Caenorhabditis elegans: one gene and its partners. The protein of the gene in region 1 purifies or fractionates together with the protein of each later gene. This does not show direct contact. Each region holds a gene or a part of one and is shown in the gene's direction. Other genes may lie near its edges. The genes, in order: nspg-7.1, irg-7, K12H4.7 and nspg-9.

What was found.
Region 2: the proteins of nspg-7.1 (region 1) and irg-7 fractionate together in Caenorhabditis elegans (co-fractionation; one large-scale study listed by BioGRID). This does not show direct contact.
Region 3: the proteins of nspg-7.1 (region 1) and K12H4.7 fractionate together in Caenorhabditis elegans (co-fractionation; one large-scale study listed by BioGRID). This does not show direct contact.
Region 4: the proteins of nspg-7.1 (region 1) and nspg-9 fractionate together in Caenorhabditis elegans (co-fractionation; one large-scale study listed by BioGRID). This does not show direct contact.

The regions. Positions count from the first base shown.
Region 1 is NC_003282.8:9,328,526-9,332,712, reverse strand, and holds nspg-7.1 (DUF19 domain-containing protein), read left to right. Parts: upstream 1-1,857; 5' UTR 1,858-1,860; coding exon 1,861-2,028; intron 2,029-2,159; coding exon 2,160-2,281; intron 2,282-2,673; coding exon 2,674-2,771; intron 2,772-2,884; coding exon 2,885-2,944; intron 2,945-2,990; coding exon 2,991-3,096; intron 3,097-3,351; coding exon 3,352-3,415; intron 3,416-3,513; coding exon 3,514-3,600; 3' UTR 3,601-3,673; downstream 3,674-4,187. Other genes in the region: clec-183 (C-type lectin domain-containing protein), read right to left, coding at 3,968-4,187.
Region 2 is NC_003284.9:3,240,626-3,245,484, reverse strand, and holds the start of irg-7 (Protein irg-7), read left to right. Parts: upstream 1-1,848; 5' UTR 1,849-1,860; coding exon 1,861-2,040; intron 2,041-2,083; coding exon 2,084-2,195; intron 2,196-2,249; coding exon 2,250-2,872; intron 2,873-2,918; coding exon 2,919-2,979; intron 2,980-3,044; coding exon 3,045-3,215; intron 3,216-3,262; coding exon 3,263-3,334; intron 3,335-3,380; coding exon 3,381-3,572; intron 3,573-3,620; coding exon 3,621-3,738; intron 3,739-3,787; coding exon 3,788-3,908; intron 3,909-3,954; coding exon 3,955-4,098; intron 4,099-4,144; coding exon 4,145-4,859. Other genes in the region: F40F4.7 (N-terminal methionine N(alpha)-acetyltransferase NatE), read left to right, coding at 1-38, 625-827, 964-1,051, 1,094-1,219.
Region 3 is NC_003281.10:8,047,930-8,053,032, reverse strand, and holds K12H4.7 (Putative serine protease K12H4.7), read left to right. Parts: upstream 1-1,951; 5' UTR 1,952-1,992; coding exon 1,993-2,023; intron 2,024-2,539; coding exon 2,540-2,643; intron 2,644-2,691; coding exon 2,692-2,893; intron 2,894-2,936; coding exon 2,937-3,027; intron 3,028-3,072; coding exon 3,073-3,308; intron 3,309-3,355; coding exon 3,356-3,491; intron 3,492-3,757; coding exon 3,758-4,377; intron 4,378-4,426; coding exon 4,427-4,539; 3' UTR 4,540-4,583; downstream 4,584-5,103. Other genes in the region: mals-1 (Mitochondrial Assembly of ribosomal Large Subunit), read right to left, coding at 4,653-4,778, 4,823-4,984, 5,036-5,103.
Region 4 is NC_003282.8:14,455,225-14,462,906, forward strand, and holds the start of nspg-9 (DUF19 domain-containing protein), read left to right. Parts: upstream 1-1,675; 5' UTR 1,676-1,775; coding exon 1,776-1,797; intron 1,798-1,798; exon of another isoform or gene 1,799-1,819; intron 1,820-1,956; exon of another isoform or gene 1,957-1,978; intron 1,979-2,175; exon of another isoform or gene 2,176-2,196; intron 2,197-2,578; exon of another isoform or gene 2,579-2,599; intron 2,600-2,716; exon of another isoform or gene 2,717-2,740; intron 2,741-3,298; exon of another isoform or gene 3,299-3,323; intron 3,324-3,459; coding exon 3,460-3,679; exon of another isoform or gene 3,680-3,700; intron 3,701-3,781; exon of another isoform or gene 3,782-3,802; intron 3,803-3,883; exon of another isoform or gene 3,884-3,904; intron 3,905-3,962; exon of another isoform or gene 3,963-3,983; intron 3,984-4,087; exon of another isoform or gene 4,088-4,108; intron 4,109-4,202; exon of another isoform or gene 4,203-4,227; intron 4,228-4,423; exon of another isoform or gene 4,424-4,444; intron 4,445-4,589; exon of another isoform or gene 4,590-4,610; intron 4,611-4,627; coding exon 4,628-4,715; intron 4,716-4,840; coding exon 4,841-4,904; intron 4,905-5,045; exon of another isoform or gene 5,046-5,069; intron 5,070-5,261; exon of another isoform or gene 5,262-5,282; and 11 more.

The DNA.
Region 1 (4,187 bases):
CCGGAAGTCTTTATAACTTTTTCAATCGTTTATTTCTCGAAGCAAGAGAAACGATAGGATACATTTTATTCGCTATCATTATCAACAATATACTGTCTACGTGTGGGCAACTTATTAATGCCCTGCTAACAGTACCCTTCCGGGCGCGAGTCGAAATAATGCTTGAGTGCTACATTGGCACTTTTTTGGGTATTGAAGATTCTCCGCTCGTGGACACGGGTCATATTTGAAAACGACTAGTATTCAGATGGAGTGAGGTCTGGAGAATACGGTGCGTGAAGGAGAACCATCCATCCATGGCTGGTATGTTCCTACTTTTCCTGTTTCGAGAGGTGGGAACTAGCGTTGTTTTGCTGAAAACAGAATTGCTTGTCCATCAGGGGTGAACCATCGATGACTTCCTTCATGTTCCATGGTTAGATAACGTAGATGTCCCCACTAATCATTTTGCCCTCAGGCAGCAGTTCCCAGTAGAAAGGGCCCTACACTCCCCTCCACACTGAGAGCATGCCTTTTTTGGGGTGAAGGTCGGGTTTGGCGGCATCCTGTGGTGTCTCTCATTCTCCAATCCACTGAGCACGCTTGTGGTTGTTATCGTAGAGGACCCACTTCTCGTTACCAGTAATGAGTCGGCCCAACCATCGATCGGCCCCGTGGAAAATGAGGAGGGAAAAGGAATCACCCACTAAAAAATCAAGATTCGCCTGTGTCAAGGTGTGAGGTATGAATTGACCCATAAGTTTCTTTATTCCAAGAGGTTCCCAGCCTCGTACAATGTTGGTTTGACGGGACCCAAGTGTGGTTGACAGCTCACGGGTGATTTGGAAAGGATCCGTTGCCATGGCTTTCTGCAACGTGTCCAAATCCAATTTATGGGGTCTCAGAGTCTTCGAGAGAAAAGTCGTCCTTCTCGAAGCTTTGGAACCAATTGCGTATGATATTATAGTAGGGAACATGTGAATCATAAACATTCTTGAGGAGACTTTCCGAATCCTTCATCGTGGTATGAGAGAGGAAGAGGTACATCAAACCATATCGGATGTGGATCGCACTAGGGACATACATCGTTGGTTGACTAACTTCAGGCCAGAGGAAAGGGAATGAGGTGTTGCTTACAATGAAGTTCCTACTCTTGTTGTTATTCACTAGCAACGAGGGAATACCAAAGTGCAACTGTGGCGAGCGGTGGAAAAGCAAACCCAGTTATAAAGACTTCCGGACCAACCTAATAGAATTTCTGAAATTCCCAATAATGAATTAAAATCCACTTCATTATTATTATTACATCTCCATGAATTACGGACTTACTGTCAATGGTCCTGGCACGATTGAAAATTTCCCGCTACAGTACCCAAAATTTCTCAATGTTCTTTAATGTTTTTTTGGTTGTTATTTTTCTGGAAAACTTTTTAACTTCATGGAAATTATCAAAAATACGTCAAACATTATAAGAAAAATGACGCTCGAATTTGCAATTTCTGGACACTATATTTTGCAATTTATACTGGTCATTTTACTTATTTGTTCACACATCATTTTATTTATTTTTTAATCTTCCGGTGTAGCTCTTTCTTGTGACAAATAAACAATATTATATTATATTATCGTGTTTCCTCCCTTAGTCATTCAAATCTCCAAAAAAACATTAGTGTCACATACAACTGAGACTAAGTAAAGAAGAACCGGTTATTATTTTTGAAATCTAACTTCAAGCTGTCGCATTATTCAAAGTTCTATATTTATATCCAATAAAGCTTAAGAAAAAAAAAATTAAGATGACATCACCAATCCCCTTCAAAATTCTGCACTTACCGTCAATTTCCTCCCTGAACCTGAACGATATTATAAATTATTTAGAAAATGCGTACAATAGCATTGGCTCTTCTTGTACTTGTGGGAGTTTCCCAAGCAGCATTCCTTCTACCATATTCTCTTCCAAATGATCTTATTCAATTAATGGCTTTCCGTGAGACTCCTCAAAATGCTGCCATTTCTGCTTGTCAGGATATTCAATTCAATTATTGTCAGGTACATTTAATATATCCAATACACCTTTTACGGGTGCAAATTCGATAGCGGTTTGTAGAAAAATAAGTATTTGTATGTAATGAAAACTGATCATCAAAAATAAAATTATAGTTTCAATGAAAATTTTCTAGACAACGTTCAATCAGTTCTTTGGAATGGATGATTCTATTTCTTGGCGCAATGGATCTTACATTTTCAATACAGTTCAGAAATATTTGGAAATGAATGTTACAGAACTTATCAAGGTTTGCAAGTGAGTTGAAACATTGAATATTGTGGTATTGTGGTGATCTGTTAGGAAAAATTTATTTGTGAACGATCTTACTTTAAAAAATGTTATATCACTTCTGAAACTTTCGCCATTTGGTTTTATATGTGTCTATGTTAGCCATGATAATTATGTTCAATTTGTTAAATTTCAATTTCCTCGTCGTTTTTCACACTTAACATGTTCCACTATAACAGTTGAAAGTTTCATTGTCAAATTGACCGGGCATAAGACAAATTAATCATAGACTCATTTCTAGGCTTCATTGTTTATTACTGCTTACTACTGTTTAAATTTTAAATATTTAGTGAACTCATAAGTATTGCATGCTAATAAATTCAATAAATTCAAACATTCAAATCCAATGACACTTTCAGCACCCGTACTCAATTCTACCAATGCCTCGGATCTTCTTATTATACCTGTATGAATCTCTATACTCTTCTCAACAAGCCACAACCTGATTTCTCGAACAGTGAGTAAATTCATAGATATCGAGATTTTCGACCTGTCGTGAATGGCAATTCGAACGTACAACATTTTTTTCATATTATAATTGAAATTTATTTTTTAATGATTATATTTCAGCATTCGATTATGTTAGAACATTCCGTGGACTCGAGTGGATGTGCGTCGGAGGATTCTCTGGTAAGATTCACCAAAGACTTCTTTACCACTATTTTACTATTTCCAGAAGTAGTAAGCCAATGGGACTGTCTCGGTACTTTCCCAACTACAAATGCGTATAACTCTTGCATTCAAAACTTCAATCAAACAGTGTCTGCTGGAAACTTCTGCCCGTGAGTTATGAATAGTAAGAATACATCAAAAGTGGAATATGGTTAATGCATTTTGTTTTAAAATACTTAAAATGAAGAACAATTTGCGAAGGACTGAAAATTTCAATTTAAAAATTCGCGATTTCCCAATTTTTTACAAATCTCCCTGTTTGAATTATCTCCAAAGCAAATTCGCAATTTTACTCGTACTCCACCATTTGAACTATGTTTGGAAAAATACTATCTACTTTATTCAATTCAATTGTTCATATTCAGAGCAGTTCAACAAACTGGAAGCTGTTTGAATGACGCCTACAATGCCGCCTGTGGAGTCGGAGGAGTGAGTTTTAAAAATCTTCTGATACACAGAAAGGCAAAATAACAAAATTTAGAATTCAAAGTTGAAACTTTTCTGAAAAAAAGTTTAAATAATTGCAGGCTGGATACTTTGGATGTGAGAACTTCCGTATCACTTTCGACAACTCTTGCTGGGGACTCAGATGCATGGTTGATTCAACCAACTAATTCTTACTTTTCTATCAAGAACATTTAATATCTTTTTAAAGTTTAATATGATAAATTGGATTTGTTCGTTAAAAATGTTAAAATTTGAAGTTGTGGGTAATACTGGTCTGGAGTTTTCGCAACTATAATGAAACATCTTACTAAAAAGACTGAAACAAAAACAACTGTAATTATATAAATCTGTCCGAGGCGTCACAAAAGCGTCTCGCCTCTTTCCTATTTGCGTCATATCTGTTCTTTTCTATACTATTTGCTGCCACATCGACCTTAGAATTTATGACCTGAAGAAGTATATTTAAATCGAAAGAAAACAAATGCAAAAAAAGAAAAATAAGATTTTATTCGAATAATCAATTAATTTAGAACATTAAAAATCAAGTAGCACGCTTTCCACAAACAAATCCTCTGTACATGTCCTTCCAAGTAAGTGGACAAACTTGTGAAAGTATTTTCCATGTTCATAAGGGCTGGTTCCAGTTGAAGCCCAAATCCACATAAGAGCACAATTATGGGAATATCCGCTGGTTGGACCCAGTTGTGGTTCTCCCTTACTCCATTGAATACCTTGCTGACCTCCATCATTATTT
Region 2 (4,859 bases), on another chromosome or scaffold:
CAGTTCATTTGGGAGAAATTACGCCGCACAACATTTTGGTGAGAATTTATTAATTTGTTGAAGGAAATGTATGTTATGAAACGAACTAGAATTCATAATATTAAATGAAACCCATATTTTCTCGATCAATGTGAATATGATGTAGCCTTAATTTTTGCGTCTTAAAAAATTGAATATTACTCTTGCACGCAGTGAATGTGAGCCCACTCAATAAAATTCTGTTCCGATTTATATATATTCTGTGAATGGCTAAAAAAGCAAACCTAGGCCGACTTTGCTGTTCATTTTTGAAGCTTTCAACATTGCCCTGTATTCTGTACCTGTGAAAATTGTGTAAATTGGCATAGAATGAGCTGTTAAAATACGTTGTAGCCTACCGAGCATGTCAGACAAGTAGTTGAACTCAAAGTTTGCTGAAGCACACTCAAAGTTTGCTGAAGGTCTTCACTCACTCTTGAACCAAACAGATGATTTTAACCTCCACCTTTTAAATTTAATTTAGCCTTCCCATTTTCATCAGTAAAACGCGATTTCTGAAATCCTATTTGTTTTTCAAACCTCAACAAAAAATACACGAACTTCATAAAACTCGAAACTCGATTTTTCAATTTACTATAATTTCAGCAACTGAAAAAGCTCAATGAAGATGTCTTCCCAATTGCCTACAACGACAAGTTCTATGTGGAAGCTCGATATTGCGGAGAACTTGGACGTCTTGCCTACTACAACGATGTCGTCGTGGGCGCCGTGTGCTGTCGCATTGACGATATTTCAGACGAGAAGTCGTTGTATCTCATGACACTTGGAACCCTTGCCGCCTACCGACAGTGAGTTTTGAGTCAGATCAAATTTACCTTATCAATGACGTTTTTTTGGTACAGTTCTACCTGAAAATGACGGTTTTAATAGCGTTAATTATTATACCAAGGGCGTTTTACGAGGTAATAAAATGTGCTATTTCAGAATCGGTATTGGTACAATTCTCATCGACTACGCATTAAAATTGTGCAATAAGATGGAAGAAATTAAGACCATGTACTTACATGTGCAGGTATCCAGAAAAAAGTGGATCTGAAAAAAAGTAATTTTCCAGGTCAACAACAAAAATGCGGTGCAATTCTATGAGAAGCATGGCTTCACCAATGACGGAATTATCGAGGACTACTATCGTATTAGCCCAAGAGACGCTTACTTGCTCATCAAACGAATCCGCCACTAAACTAGAATAGCTCATTTTGATATACAATATCTGAACTGTTTCCCTTTTCAAAATTACTTTATTTTTATCATAGCGACTGGTGGCATCCAAGCCTGGTCTGCAAGTTGGATCTCTAGCCATTGACAATTGCCAGCATGGTTGTTTTGTCTTCTTTCCCATCTTCAAGCATAACCGTGCCTACCCGTATGAAAACCATGTCTGTTTGAGATTTCCCATTTTTTCTATGCTTTATTTCATGTATCATCATTTTCAATTCTATTGACTTTTTGTTTTTTGGTAACTCTGGTAATTCGATTGTGAATTCTAAATGTCGAGGTTCTTTTATTGTCCGAGCAAATTTTATGTTTTGAATTTTGACTCATAAAAATGTAAGGCGTTTTATTGTTAACAAGAACATGAAAAATCAGGAGAGCCCGGGGGAAAATTTTATTATGCCCTTATGCATAGCATTGAAAGATAAGAAGTTGCCACGATGTTACGAGCGTGCCCAACCCATTTTCTTATTTAACGACTTTGATTGCTATAAGGTTTTCTTGATAGTACTTTTAGTCGCATTACTCCAGTGCTTCTTTTTCATTTTAAGCTGTTGATAATACCCCTTCAAGTTTGCTTCCAAAAAAACTAATATTTTTTATTTAGAAATGAGGAACTGGGTTTTGATTGCGGCCCTGGCCGTGATCTGCCTGGCGACTGAGCAGGAGCTCAGTCACAAGGACAGAATACGCGCGGTTTTGAGATCATGGAGTCCGGCATCGCAGAAGCAGTTTTTCGAGCCAGTCAGAGAGCAAAAGTACAGGACTATGGAAGAAAGGGTTATTTTTGTAAGGTCTAGCAAACAGGTGCGATTCGAATTTTTAATTTCAGTTGGACACCCATCATATTTCCAAAAGATCCATTGCTGAACCACACGTTTTGGCTGGAATGGCTACTCGAGGATGCAACAAGCCAGGGTACACCGGTGAAACTTGCCAATATCGTGAGTTTTAAGATTTATATTTCTAAAATGTTCCATGACGCAGAAATTTTTCAGCCCTCTGTTCTGCTCGCAACCCGTACATTCCGAACAACGACGGATTTGATGACATTGCAATTGATGCTTACAATCTGGCTAATTGCTCTGAATCATACATCGTCGTCGTTGACGAGACGATGCGGAATATCAAAATTGAAGTCGAGACGGCGTCAGCATTGAACCCAACATTCTATCTTCAAGCTGAAAATGGAGATCTCATATTCCCAGACGAATCCATTCAACTTCCAACAATGTTCACTGCAAATTATTTGCATCTGCCTCCCGGACAATATATGCTTGGACCACGAGCCGACACCAGCGAGCAGTTTTGTACAATGATGATGTCATCCCGCAGTAGCATTCATGTTTCCGGTGGATTCACTTCAGGAGATCAAGCCGAGCGTAGTGACTATCCAAATCTCAAGTTTACATATTTCGATACTGAGTCGGTTGTTGCAATTCATGCTCAAGGTTTGGACTTTCCTGGTCAAATCCAAGCAATTGGATTTACCGGTGCCGAGAACCACATCTCAAGATACATTCCAATGACAACCCGTTTCAACTGTACTTATCCATACATCTTGGAGAGATACACTTGCAGAAAAACCAGCAATAACGATGCTGGACACAATCTCATTCAAGTTCGATTGAACCAAAGGTGCTAAACATTCAAATTTTTGTTTTCAGGTGGAGGGTGTGACTAACTCTGGCTACAAGTTCCGTCGTATTGTTCCTTACCAATGCGTCTGTGAGTTTCTTTGTAGTGTATATAAGAAGTTTATATAAGACTTTTAAGAAAAAGTACCTTTTCAGTACCACCAGTAACAACTACTACCCCCGCTGTCCCGACAACACCTGCAGCACCGATAACTTCTTGTCAAAACGGAGGGCAGTTGCTTACTGACTCTAATGGAGTTGCATATTGTTATTGCTTTGGACTTTACTCTGGAAGTACTTGCTCGCAAATGCTCTGTGCTAACGGAGGTACAATTCATCCTTGAAATTATATATTTTTTATAATAACTATTAAGGTTTCTTGCCGACTCCAACCAGTGACCGTTGTCAATGCCCAGAAGGATTCAGTGGCTTCCATTGCCAGAATAGTATGCACTAGTAAAAATTATCTGTTAAAACATAATAACTTTGCAGTCTTGTGTACCGACATGTCAGGCTTTGACTTCAACGCTGAAAACCCAACTCTCACCCTTGTCATCCGATCAAGAAGCCAGCTCTCTGCAGTTATTGAACAAGCAACTGAGTCTGTTCAAAGTATTGTTGATCTTCTCGCTAGTGAACCTGGATATCTATCAAAGTTCATTGTTGTTCTTTTTGATAACGGAAGTGAGTTTTGATCTAAAACATATTTGACATGAAAGTGTATTATTTCAGAGCTCTTGGTGAACAGACAATATGATTCATGGGACGCTGCAATGGTCGATCTTACAAAAGCTATCCATTCCGCTCCAAGCGAAGGAGGATGTGATGATGTTGTCATGTCTGCTGTTGCGTAAGTTCACTGGTATGTAATAATGTTTAAAAATGCTAATTCATTACAGATCTGCACTTTCTCTCTATCCAACAAACAAATCCCCGATCTATGTGATTACGGACGCCACTCCAAATGATAGTGCTGAGAAGGAAACTGTGTTCCATCTGGAATCTTATTGGAGAGCACCGGTAAATAACATGAAAGCAAATAATGTTGACTCTATTTAAATTTCAGATCTACTTCATTTACGTTCAACCATCTCCAGCCGATGGATGTAACTCATCTCCAGATAACTCTGCATATAGAGATATGGTGGACATGGCTGCTCGTTCAAGTGGTAACACTTTCTATTTCAGCGACAGAAGCACTATTTCGACCGTAAGTCACTTCACTTTATATCTCCCATATCAATTAACTTTTATAGTTCTTCTACCGACACATGCTTAACACCTTGTTCCGATCCCAACTTGTTCTTTCCGGAGATTACTCACACTGCTCCAGCCAGAATCTGTACAAGTCAGCTGCCTTTGATCTTAGCGTTGACTACGTTACAATTGTAGCCACTGGAACAAATTTGACTCTAGTTGTGACAAGCCCAACAGGACAGTATCCAACTTTCAACACCGCCTTTTCTGATGGTGTGAACTATGTTTGGACGTATAACTCGCCAGTTGCTGGTCAATGGTTCTTCTCTATCAGATCACTTGAACCAGAAGCAGCTTGCACGTTTAAGGTTTATCAGAAGAAGTTCAACTTTGGCGGACAAACTCAATACAGCCCCGACTATGATATTTTCTGGTCATTCGCTTCTACTCTTACTTCGGCAGCAGGAGTTCTACGTCAGCCAGTTCTTGGATTTGATTCATCTCCAGTTTTCCATGTTACCAACTACCCTCAGTTCCTCTCAATGGACCGTGTGCATGCCAATCTTCAGATTTATGCTATTCGTGACGGAGTTCAAACCGAGGTTTACGGATCAAGTGGAATGTACAGAGATGCCTGTGAATTCAACTTCTACTTCCCACCATTCACTTGCCGTGTTCCAGAAGAAGTTCTTTACTTCAATTTCTTTGCTCGTGATAATAATGACATGGCTCTTCAACGTGCCGGAACTATGTTCTGTGCTGCCGTTCATCCTA
Region 3 (5,103 bases), on another chromosome or scaffold:
AAATCAAATCTCCATAAAAACCCCTTCGGTAAGTGTTCATAAAACAATTATTTTGTCAAAAATTTTCCAGCAACTTATACAATAGTAGATAATTATGAAAATTGAGAAATCACGTGATATCCAACTCTCTTAGTCTCAATGCAGCAACAAATAAAAATTCTCATCAACCACCGTAACCAACTATTTTTATTATCTCAAATCCCAAGTTCCCATACCATTAAAACTCGAGACTGTGCACATAATTGGATTGGATACTTGTGAAAAACTGAGTTGTATCTTACACATTCCACTCTTTCTGTTTTGGACAAAAAAATAGTGGGAAATTTATGTTTGAATAGAATTCGATAAATACATGTGTGTGGATTTTTTCGAAATTGGAAAATATTTAGTTTGATATTTTGTAATCATTTTCACAATTTTTTAACACGTTAAAAAACAAAAAAAAAGAATATTAAAAACCAAAACCAAATGAAGAAAAATCTGTACGAATAGAAAAGTTGCATAACACCCAAGAATAATAATAATTGGCTAAAGATGGAGAATTTAATAGTTGCGTGACGGCGGAACAAAACTAGATGACCATTTAGACGGTTACTCAATATATTTAATTGCACTTTTTATGAAGATGCTATGGTTTTTCAATGTTTTTTCTCTTTTTGAACTGTCTCGTATTGCAAGTTATGGCTAACGGAATCGAAAGTTTGAAAGAAAAAGGAAAATGGAAGATTCTTGATGTTTGCTAATATATCGTATTCTCTAAGGATTCCAACAAGAAATGCATCACGTTCACAGTTTGGAAATACAAGTTCTACCGTATTCTACCATAATTTCATTTCTCAAGCATTTTTTTTCCAAATTTCAATGTATAAAAAAGACACAACGCAAGACTTGCATCAACACCCAGGTGGTCTCTAACTGCCCTTTTTTTCACTTTTTTACCTCGAGAATTTTGGGAAAAAAAGTTGAAGGAGTGTCAAGACACATCTTTGGTTATGTAACTATTGCGTAATCGAGACTTTAGGCAGCATTCACGTAATTTGGAAATTTAGAATTAAATTCAATATGTAGAAATAAACGTTTGAAAGCTAGCAAATTATAGAGGGAAATAATATTTTTAGAGTTTAGATTTCTGTGAGAATTCTTGACAAATTTTTAGCACCTACGATCGTGATGAGAAATCAAATCAATAAAAATTGGAACTTGCGAGAACATAGCGAGACCTTAATTCACCAATTTTGAACAAATGTCTCGATTTAAAACTTGAAAAACGGAGTATTGAATAGATGAGCACCTACCTCTCATCTCCTCAACCGGGAGGCGTGATGTGGCTAGTGTTTGCGAACAACGGAAAAGAAATAAGATTGAAGAAGGTAGAATAGAAGAAGAAGTCAAGTGAGAGCAGGTAAAACAGTTCAGTGCACATATTTATGGAAAATGATGGAATGGAGAAACGGAATTTTAAAAAAATTTGAAATGATGACTGGCTTGTTGCAAGTGTTTTTCGAAGAATACCGTATTTCCTCTATTAGTAATTTATTTATTCAACCAACTTTTCCTTTTATTTTCTTCCATATCCTGACAGAAAATGCTTAGGTATGATGTTATGAATATGGAAATTTTATTTTTGAAAAGATTATATTCAATTTGATAGTTCCAGTAAACAATTAAACGTTTCGAATTCCAACTTTTTATTGATCTTTGCAGTTTCTCTGAAATTGGCTTTGTTATTTTATTTTTCAAACTTTGGCCCAGTATTCCTGTAAACTAAGAACCCAGTTTGCAAGTACGTCAGTCTAAAAGATGATTTAGTATTTCGAATGTAGTTGTGCCACGAATCAGTAAAATCATCATTTAAATGTGATAGCGAAAACGGAATTGAACTCGCAAATCAGCGATAAATTATTTGATAAGGAAAAGTGTATAAGTGGGTGCTTATCAACTGAAAACTCTTGCTTTATTTCACTTTTTCTTTTTATTCTAGAAAGTGGAAACATGAAGACTCTTTTGGCAGTGCTACTGGCAGGTAAATTTAATTTTAAACATCGTTTTAGAATTTCTGTAGCTACTTTCTCTTTGAGGAGCTTAAAAGTGAAGTTGCCCAGATTCAATGCCAGTTCCGTAAATTTCATGAGTCGTTTTTTTCTAAAATTCGTGACCATTAGGCTATATGGCCAGAACATATTTTTATTACTCAAAATCTAAAAAAACAAATTATGAAGTCTCACATATTTTTCTGGAAATAAGGAATCTGGAAACTGTTTTCGACGGGAATATACTCTATCTAGACCTAGATCTAGTCTAGCCAATGTTCTCAAATGTTGTATTGTTGAATCTTTCAAAAGAATTTTCTACTAATCTTTACAACGAAATACACAAAATTTATAATTCGTGGATTCATTTTTATCGAGACGAGCAACTGTCTAAAAACTAAGGTTTCAAAACTGATAACATTATTTACCATCGAATTAATAAATTTTAAGTTCAGTTCTATGTTTACCATAGTTTCTGTAGTTTCACACTGAATAACTTAACATTTCAGCATGTGTGCTGACCCAGGTATTGTCTGCTCCAAGCAATGAGCAGCGTGTTCGTCGTAACATGATCCGTGGACGTCCACGTGGAGGAATGAAGAAGACTCCACCAGTAAGTGTTCAAACATCCAATGTACAGAACAAAAAAAGTCTATTCCAGATGTCTTCCGTTTCTCATATGATCAACTTTGACAATGTAGTCTCATCTACTTTCACTCAAACTCTTGATCATTTTGATTCTTCCGTCGGAAAGACTTTCCAGCAGAGATATTATCATAACAACCAATGGTACAAGGCTGGAGGACCAGCTTTCTTGATGCTTGGAGGAGAAGGACCAGAGTCTAGTTATTGGGTTTCTTATCGTTAGTTTACTTTTTTATCATACAAGACATTTTATTTTTAAAGCTGGACTTGAAATCACCAACTTGGCTGCCAAACAAGGAGCCTGGGTCTTTGATATTGAGCACAGATTCTATGGAGAGACTCACCCAACCAGGTATTTCTTTTTACGAAATAACTCCCTATTATTAATGTTTTCCAGCGACATGTCCGTACCAAACCTGAAATACTTGTCTTCTGCCCAAGCTATTGAGGATGCCGCCGCTTTCATTAAGGCAATGACCGCCAAGTTCCCACAATTGGCCAATGCCAAGTGGGTCACTTTCGGAGGATCCTACTCTGGAGCTTTGGCCGCATGGACTCGTGCAAAGCATCCAGAATTGGTGTATGCTGCTGTTGGATCCAGTGGTCCAGTTCAAGCCGAGGTTGACTTCAAAGGTTAAAAAGATACGCAGCAATTTACTTCCAATTACTTTCTATTTCAGAGTATCTTGAGGTTGTACAAAACTCAATTACCCGTAACTCAACTGAGTGTGCCGCCAGTGTGACCCAAGGATTCAACTTGGTTGCTTCTCTTCTTCAAACTTCCGATGGACGCAAACAATTGAAAACTGCTTTCCAGTGAGTTTATTATGATGTATGCTTACTAGTTAGCCAAAGCCAAAAACCTCGAGTGAACCTTCTGTATTCCCCCCATTCCTGCGCGTTTCAAACTGAATTAACCGCTCTAACTTTTTTGAAACTTTTCTCTGGAAGTTCCAGTCTCTACATAGTTCCTTTGTCAGCTATTCTAGTCACAAATGTTTTGAGAAGTGCGTATAACTTGGCGTGTTCATTCAATGCGTCAAATTGAAATATATATTGTAAAATAAGCAACAATTTTTCAGTCTCTGCCAAGACATTCAAATGGACGATAAATCACTCAAGTATTTCTGGGAAACAGTATATTCTCCATACATGGAGGTTGTTCAATATTCTGGTGATGCCGCTGGATCGTTTGCCACTCAACTCACAATTTCTCATGCCATTTGCCGTTATCACATTAACACTAAATCAACACCACTTCAGAAATTGAAACAAGTCAATGACTATTTTAACCAAGTCAGTGGATATTTCGGATGCAATGATATTGATTACAATGGTTTCATTTCTTTCATGAAAGATGAAACATTCGGAGAGGCTCAATCTGACAGAGCATGGGTTTGGCAGACTTGCACTGAGTTCGGATATTATCAATCAACTTCATCAGCTACTGCTGGACCATGGTTCGGAGGTGTAAGCAATCTTCCAGCTCAATATTATATTGATGAATGTACTGCTATCTATGGAGCTGCATACAATAGTCAAGAAGTTCAGACATCTGTAGATTACACTAATCAATATTATGGAGGAAGAGATAATTTGAACACTGACAGAATTCTTCTACCAAATGGAGATATTGATCCATGGCATGCACTTGGAAAATTGACAAGCTCGAACAGCAATATTGTGCCAGTTGTGATCAATGGTAATCTTGAACTTTATGTACAAAAATAGTATAATTACATTAATTCCAGGAACCGCCCATTGTGCTGACATGTACGGAGCATCCAGCTTGGATAGTATGTACTTGACAAACGCCCGCCAAAGAATCTCGGATGTTCTTGATGGATGGCTTCATGCTAATTAATTGTTATGGATTTTATGTTATAGAAATGAAAATTTGACTCTAATATTTCATATCAACGATATTACAAAAATAATAACAATAATCTAAATGTTATAAATAACAAAAGGAAAACATTATCGTCTCGGTGGCAGCAAAATCTTCTGTTTCTCCTCATCAATCTCGTCTAAGATCCGATCATCGCCAGCCCAAATTGCTTCCAAATCGTACTTCTCACGGCATTCTTCACTCATTACGTGCACCTGAAGTATAGGCATTAAAAAATATAATATGTAGGAAGTAATACCTGAACTCTTTCCACCTCACTGACATACCATCCATTGCTTCGTTTTGTGCTCCTTCGTGCATGTGACATGGATCCATTCGACACTCCGTCAATTTTTAGAAGAGATCGAAGATTTTCAGAAATTGCTGAAGCTTGTCGCGAATTGAATGCTGAGCAAATTATCTGAAAATATGAGATTAATTTTCTCCTTACTGAATTACGAGGATTAATTACCTTATGTGTATACGGTGTCATTTCTGTTTCTTCTGATTTTACAACAAATACATCTTTTGCTCTTTGAT
Region 4 (7,682 bases), 5.1 Mb from region 1:
CCAACACGTAGAATGATGACCATTCGCCGCTGCGGCCAAGGCAAGATTTCATCGCGTCGAGACCCATCGAACACTAAAGGCGATGCGCCTTTAAGCTGGCGCTACGATACTCGCTCCGCTTTCTCGGGGAAAACATATAATTATGAAATGTAATTTTTTTTCTCAATTACATATTTATTTAGTTTGAGATTCCTACAACAACATTAATTTCTAACACATATGTATAGGTACAAATTTTGGAAATTTAGTGCCACTGTTTCTAAAAGTTCATAAAGTTGCAGTTCTAATTTTTACTTAGTAATCTTTTTCTGTTCAATAGTCAATCAAAAAATGTCTAGGCTGTGCAAAAATCGAGTTTTTCAAAGATGTTCAACACTTTTATCCTATCAATATAATGTTGAATTTTTTGTTGCCTGCAAATTGATTTAAAAAAACATGCAATTTCGGCTTTTAGAGGTTTTCTAGGCAAGATGTGAGTGTTCACTGTTTCAGCTTGTACAGAAGTAATGAAACAACTTTTTTATTGCTTCATGTGTTCTATAAAACTCGCCAGAACAGGCCGTTGAGACTGTATAAATTCTTCACTGTTTCAGCGAATTTTTAAAGAGTTCCATGCAATTTAATGTCACTTTAGTGGTCACTTTGGTGTATATTTTCAACAGACAAAAGCTTTTATGTTTCTGAATATTTCGAAACAGTAAATTCCCAATGCTGATAGTGAGTGAAATCGGAACGTCAAAACGAATTTTGCACCTATTTAAAGTTCCAATTTGCATTTAAGATTTTCAGATTTTAATTTGAAATTCCTACGAAAACATAGGTAATTTCTAGCGCAATCCCCAAGAAGAGCACCTAATTTTGTTTCGAAATTCAGTGCCACTGTTTCTAAAAGTTCATAAAGTTGTAGTTCTAATTTTCACTTAGTCATCCTTTCGTGTTCAATTGTCAATCAAAAAGTGTCTAGGCTGTGCAAAAATCGAGTTTTTCAAAGATTTTCGACACGTTTCTCCTAGCAAAATATTTTTTATTTTTTTGTCGTCTTAGAGGCGCGTTATTATCTCGGCGAGATGTAAGTTTTTACCGTTTCAGCATGTTATTAAACAGAGGTAATAAAAAATGTTGCAATTATAATCTCACATGCGATGAATATAAAACTACCGAAACATACCGTTGAGACTTTATAAATTCTTCACTGTTTCAGCAAATTTTGAAAGAGTTTCATGCAACTTATTGGCAATAGGCACATAATGTTCACTCTGGTGTATATTTCTAACAAACAAAAGCTTTTCTGTTTCTGAAGATTTCGAAACAGTAAATTCTCTGATAGTGAGTGAAATTGGAACGTCAAAACGAATTTTGCACCTATTTAAAGTTCCAATTTGCATTTAAGATTTGAAGCTTTTAATTTAAGATTCCTATGACCATGTAAGTAATTTCTAGCACAATCCCCAAGAATATCACCTAATTTTTTTCGAAATTTAGTGTCACTGTTTCTAAAAGTTCATAAAAGTGTAGTTCTTTTATGAAGTGTAGTTCTTTTTGAGAAATTAACAGAAAACAACCACACCCATACTCCCAACCCCAAATCGTCATTTCGGAAATTCTGCCACTTTTTAATGCCATTTGTGTTGGCTCTCGCATGTGTGCCGACACCTTGATAAGGATTTTATTGGGGAATTGGGAGTCTGATAAGATGTAAAAGTGCCACGAAGAATTGGTTGACACTTGGTTTTGCTATTTGAATTAGAATAGTTACCGAGAAGAAGCTCGTCGAAATGAAAGGATTTGTGGTTCTAGGTGAGCAAATTTTTGTTGTATATTGGAAAATAAAAAAAAAGATAGAAGAATATTAATTTTTTGAAACGGAAAAAAATATTTTTAAAAATTCGAAAATGTTTATTTAAAACATTGTCTGTTTCATATCATTGTTTTCAACTCAAATGAAATATTTAAATATTTTGAACCGTTTCCATAGTTTGTATCGTTAAAATATTGAATTTTAGAGCTTTAAAAGTGTTCTGTCAATGTTCTGAAAAAAATTAGAATCTTCGAAAAATTTTGAGATTTTTCTTTTTTGGTCAACTTACAAAATTTTTAACGGCAAAAACTGAGTAATAATTCATGATATTTGATTTTTTTTAGCCTTGAATTAGAGGTTTTTAACATTTTTCCTATTTAGCTATTGTCACATTTCCAGCGCTACTAAAAAAATTTGAATTTTTAAATCACTATTGTGAAACAGGATTTTTTTTCCAATTTAAATTTTTAATTCAATAAGGTCTATCAATCTCTGGTTGTATTACTCTTTTGAGCACAGTTCTTCTAGAAATAACATCTACGACTGACAAAAAAAAAGCAAAATCAACCAAACAGCCAAGATGTGGGCGGAGTTTAATATGAAGTTTTCTTGGTACTTTTTAAAAGTGTGAATCTATTTTTGTCTTGAATTCAATTTTGAAAAAATATACTCCACCCATATCTTAGCTTCTTGTATTTTGGCTCTGAATTTAAAAGTTTGTTTTAAAAAATTTTGTTTCATACCATTGTTTTGAGCTTCAAGGTTTTGATTTTAATTCAATTTTCACTCGAAGAAAATTGAATTAACATGAAATTAAATTAGCAAACTGTGAATATAGATTAAGTGGGGACTTTGATTCAATATGAACACTTATCTAATGGAAAAAACACTCCAAGTAATTTTAGAGCTTCGAAATGTGATGCCAAAGTTTTCGACGAATTATCGGTTTTTGTTTTAATCTGCGCTTATGCAAAATTTTTGAAGCAAATTTTGCATTTTTTGGCTCCTAAACTGTTTAGCTACAAGTATTTGAAACTAAATTAGAATATAAAAATCTCAGAAACTTTTTTATAATTAGAGGTACTTTTATCAGCGATACATTGGAGAACATATTGGTTTTTCGAAATCACAATAGTGAAACAGGAATTTTTTTCCAAATTTAAGTAAACAAGATGTAAGTTCTATTACACACACTTATTTTACAATTAGTAAAATTTTATTTTACCGCAAAAATTGCAATACAAAATTGCCCAAACAACCAAGATGTGGAAGGGGTCTATAATTACATTTTCTTGAAATTTTAAAAACTTTAGCTCTGCTTTTTCTATACTTGAATTTATGTAAAATTGTGACTACTACTCAACCTTAAAAAAACAAAAATTTTCAAGAAATAGACTCCGCCCATATCTTGGTTCTTTTTTTTCTTTGGTTTTATAATTTTTCTCGTTTTTTTTCTTGAATGAATGAAAATACGCAAGAAGTGAAAAATAATACATATCACAAACGTCACAAATTTTCTAACTAATGGGCAATGCTCTTACTTTCCTTATTTGGCGATTTTCCAAAAATGTAAAATTTTTTGAATTTGAAGTACGAAAATTTTCCAACCTCAAAAAAAATTTTCCTCCAACTTTATGAATCTAAAAACTTCAAATTTTCAGCCCTTGCCCTCTTGGCTTCTACCCAAATTTCTGCTCAAACTCCTCCAACATGCGTCGACGCAAAATTCCAAGCTTGCCAGTACAATATGGCTCAAAGCCTCGGGCTCAATGATACGGTATCTGCTCAATTGTTCAAGGACTATACTATCATGTACAACTACTTCCTGTACATGTTCGGAAGAAATCCAGGACAGACTGCCGATATGTTGACCGTTTGCAAGTTAGTCTTGAAAATTTATCAATGTTGAAGTTAGGAAGAATATTGATTTTAATACTTTGTGAAACAGTAACTTTTCGATTAAAAAAGTAATTTTGTAATTTTTTCTACATGTCCAACAGCCCAACGAGACATTTGAAAATTCAGAATTTTTAACAAAACTTTGAAACAATGTTTGTTGGAAATTATAGAAAACAAACAAGACCGGTTTTGAAAAAACAGTATTTACTTCTTTGAATATTTTTAACAGTTTGAAATAGAGAACTTGGAGCATTTTTTTTTTCCAATTTTTTAACACACCCTAGAATTATGTTTTTAATAAAGTTTAATTGTAACTAGAAATCGTGTAATAGTGAGAAATGGTTCTCTCAAATTCCATAATTTTCGAGTGAATGCTTTAAATTGTAAACACTATAGGAAGTATCTGTTCTATCGATGTTTAAGTTGAAAATATCAATTAAAAAGTACACCAAACAGTAATTTTTCGAAGAACAAACATTTTTTCCATATTATGATTCCTTTAAAAGTCGAATGTTTATTGAAGAGAGTGACTAGTTATTTGGAAAGTCCCAATATTTTTTTGAAAAATTTGAAACAGCGATTTTTTTTTAAATTATATGCAACATAAAAGGAAAGAGCACTGCAAATTCGAAACTGTTTGAGAAAATTTTAATGTTTTAAATGGAAAAAATGTTCTGTACAATTTCACTAACTTTGTAAATTCAATTCGATTTCCCGAAAAGTTAGTAATCCAACGTTTATTTCAGACTTTAAGCGCATTTTTCAAAACAAAAAATGCAATTGGAAATATTTTAAAACAGATCGAAAATTCTCACTGAAAAATCAAAAATTATAAAAAATACTTTACTGTTTCACAAACATTATAATACAGTTTTTAAAAATTGTTTTCCACTCATAAAATAATAAAATTCCAATTTTCTAAAATTTCAGCAGTCTCGAAACTTTCAATCTCTGCATGCACGGAAACCGTGGATGTTTGGACATTTACAACCTAATCAAGAAGACTGACATTAATAATGTAAGTTTTGGAATTTAAAAATACGAACATTGGAACAGCAATTAGTCTTTTTCAAACAAAAAAAAACAGAAGTATTTCACACAGAAAGCCAAGAAAAATGAGAAGAAAATCTTCGAAAATTGCAGGCTTACGCGGTGGAGGCAACCTATAGACAATACTCGTCCTTCAACTGTGGCCCAGGAATTAATAGTTGGGTTTTTTTTTTTGGAATTTTGAGGGGAAAATGTAGAAAAATTTGGGGATTTTTTTGAGTTTTACATTGAAATGTAGTGCGAAATCTATTTTTCGAACAGATATTAGCAGTTTACCACATTAAAAGTTATTGGAAATTTGAAGTATTTGAGTTAAATAATATTATTGAAAAAATAAACTTGGAGTTTTCACAGCAAATTGAAACAGTAAAATTTTTTTTTTTGGAAAAAAGTATTGAATTTTAAATTTTATAAAAAAATGAAATTTTAAATGAATTTCGGAAATTCTGTAAATCTAGTATCTCGTTGAAATGAATTTAATGGTTTTCGAATTTTGTTACATTGATTTTAGATAAATTGATTTTTTATTCAAGAAATAATAAAAATAATAAACTAGACAATCTGAAAATAATATGAAACAGAAAATAATTTTTCGTATAAATTAATTTTCAAATTAAACTATTTAACTATCTAATTTTCGTTGTTTTTTGCACAACGATACTAAATTTGAGATGTTCAATCAATCCAATGGAGCTTTGTCGCAAAACTATGTTTATTAATATCCTACTGCGACTAACTCAAAAAAAATTAACTCGAAGATTTGAAAACACATTGAAACACTAGAAATTTTTCAAAAAAGTTGAAGAAGTGTTACCATAAAACTTGTCAAAAAGTAAATTAGTGTACCTATGTCCAGTTTGTAGGCGTGGCTTGCGATGCTCCGCCCTTTTCTCTCAGAGCAAGTAAATTTTGTGGTAAATGCAGTTATTCGTTGAATTTTAATTTTTTTTAAAGTTCTGTAATAACATCATTACCATATATAAAGCGCTATTCCGTTTGTCTCTGACGTCACGGGTGACGTCACAACATTCAGCGCAAAAATTCAACTGAGAAAATTTTGAGGCTACTTATGATGAATGCGCACCCGACATCGATCGAGGTACGCGATAAACCACTCGACACTTTCCGAAAACATTTTGGCGGGAATTCAAATTTTAATTTTTCTAAAACATTTTGGCGGGAATTCAAATTTTAATTTTTTAAAATCATTTTGGCACTTATTCCGTGTGTCCATAGTTTGTAGTCTATGTAGTCTTTGTAGTCTGTGACGTCACAGCTTAAAGAGGCAATGCGTTTTGAGATGTTTGAGAGATATTGGTTTGGGGTTAGAAGGGGGATATGGTCGGGGTACTGTAGTAGTACTGTAGTTTTAGAAAAATAAACAATTTTTCGAAAACATTTTGGCGGGAATTCAAATTGAAATTTTCCGAAAACATTTTGACGGGAATTCAAATTTAAATGTTTTAATAATATTATTGTGGAATACTTTAGAACACTCTGGAAAATTGGAGAAAATTCTGGAATGTTCCAGAACCTTCTTGGAAATTTGGGAAAGTTCTGGAATCTTCTTGAATCATCAGGAAAATTGGGGAAAATTCTGGATTGTTCTAGAACCTTCTCGAAAATTCGAGAAAATTTTGGATTGTTCCAGAATCTTTTGAAAAACTCGAGAAAATTCTGAATGTTTGTGGCGAGACCTATCGTGGTTAGACCCATCATGGTGAGACCCTTAAAACTTTCGGTGGGAAATTGCTGGAAATAAATATTTTGCCGCGAAGTTCGAATTTAAATTTTTTTGAAATCATTTTGGCGGGAATTCAAACTTCAATTTATTGAAAACATTTTGAAGAGGTGTTGATATAGGAGTTAGTGGAGAATAATGTCAAGGTACTGTAGTGGTACTGTGGGGGGGGGGGGTACTGTTGGTAGGTGCCCGCGCCGTAGGCGCGGTCAACGGCTGGTTGGTAAACACGAACAACCAATAACAAAAAATCACTTGACAATTTGAGAATAATATGAAACAGACTTTTTTCTCAGTCAAACCGTTAGTGATCTAATTGTAAAAAAAAACATTTTTAATTAGATTTCGAGCAAAGTTAACACAGTCATAATTAGAAGGGTACAAATTCTAATTTAAAATGACTTTTCTAATTTAATTGAATTAGAAATGAAAAACTAATTTAGCATGGGGGAAATAAAATACAGTTTGGTATTTCAAATTAGTAATGCTTGTTAGTAATGTGCCAAATTTAAAATGGTTTTTATCTAATTGGATCACTAATGGTTTGACTGAGTTGTCGCTCAAATTAATTTTTTAATAATTCGAAAATGTATAATTTTCGTAGTTTTTTCTCAAATAGACTAAAGTTTACGCAATTTCGAATGCAGAAGAATCGGCTAGAATATTGGAAAAAAAATTTTGAAGTTTCAAAAGCAAGTTGAAACAGTCGATAATTTTTTTTTTTAAAAACCGAAATTTTACATCTTAAGTAATCGGCAAAACATGTCTAAAACAAAATTAATCTATGTCCATTTTGTAGGCGGAGTTTACAAGGTTCCGCCCCTTTCTTAATGAGCAAATAGACTTTCGGTAAATGTAGTGTCTCGTTGAAATAAATTTTATGGTTTTTGAATTTTGTTACAATGATTTTACATAAAAGGATTCTTATTGAATAACCAATAATAAAAAATAACTTGACAGTTTGAAAATAATATGAAACAGAATATAATTTTTCGCATAAATTACTTTTCAAATTAAACTAATTGTCTAATTTTCGTAGTTTTTTGCACAAAGATACTAAACTTGAAATGTTCAATCAAAATTTTTTGTTGCGAAAAAATAATATTCGTTCAGTGGAGCGCATTTTCTTTATTGTAAATTTTATATATTCAAGTTAAGCTCTAAATAGTCCACATAGCCATCGAATATTGAAAA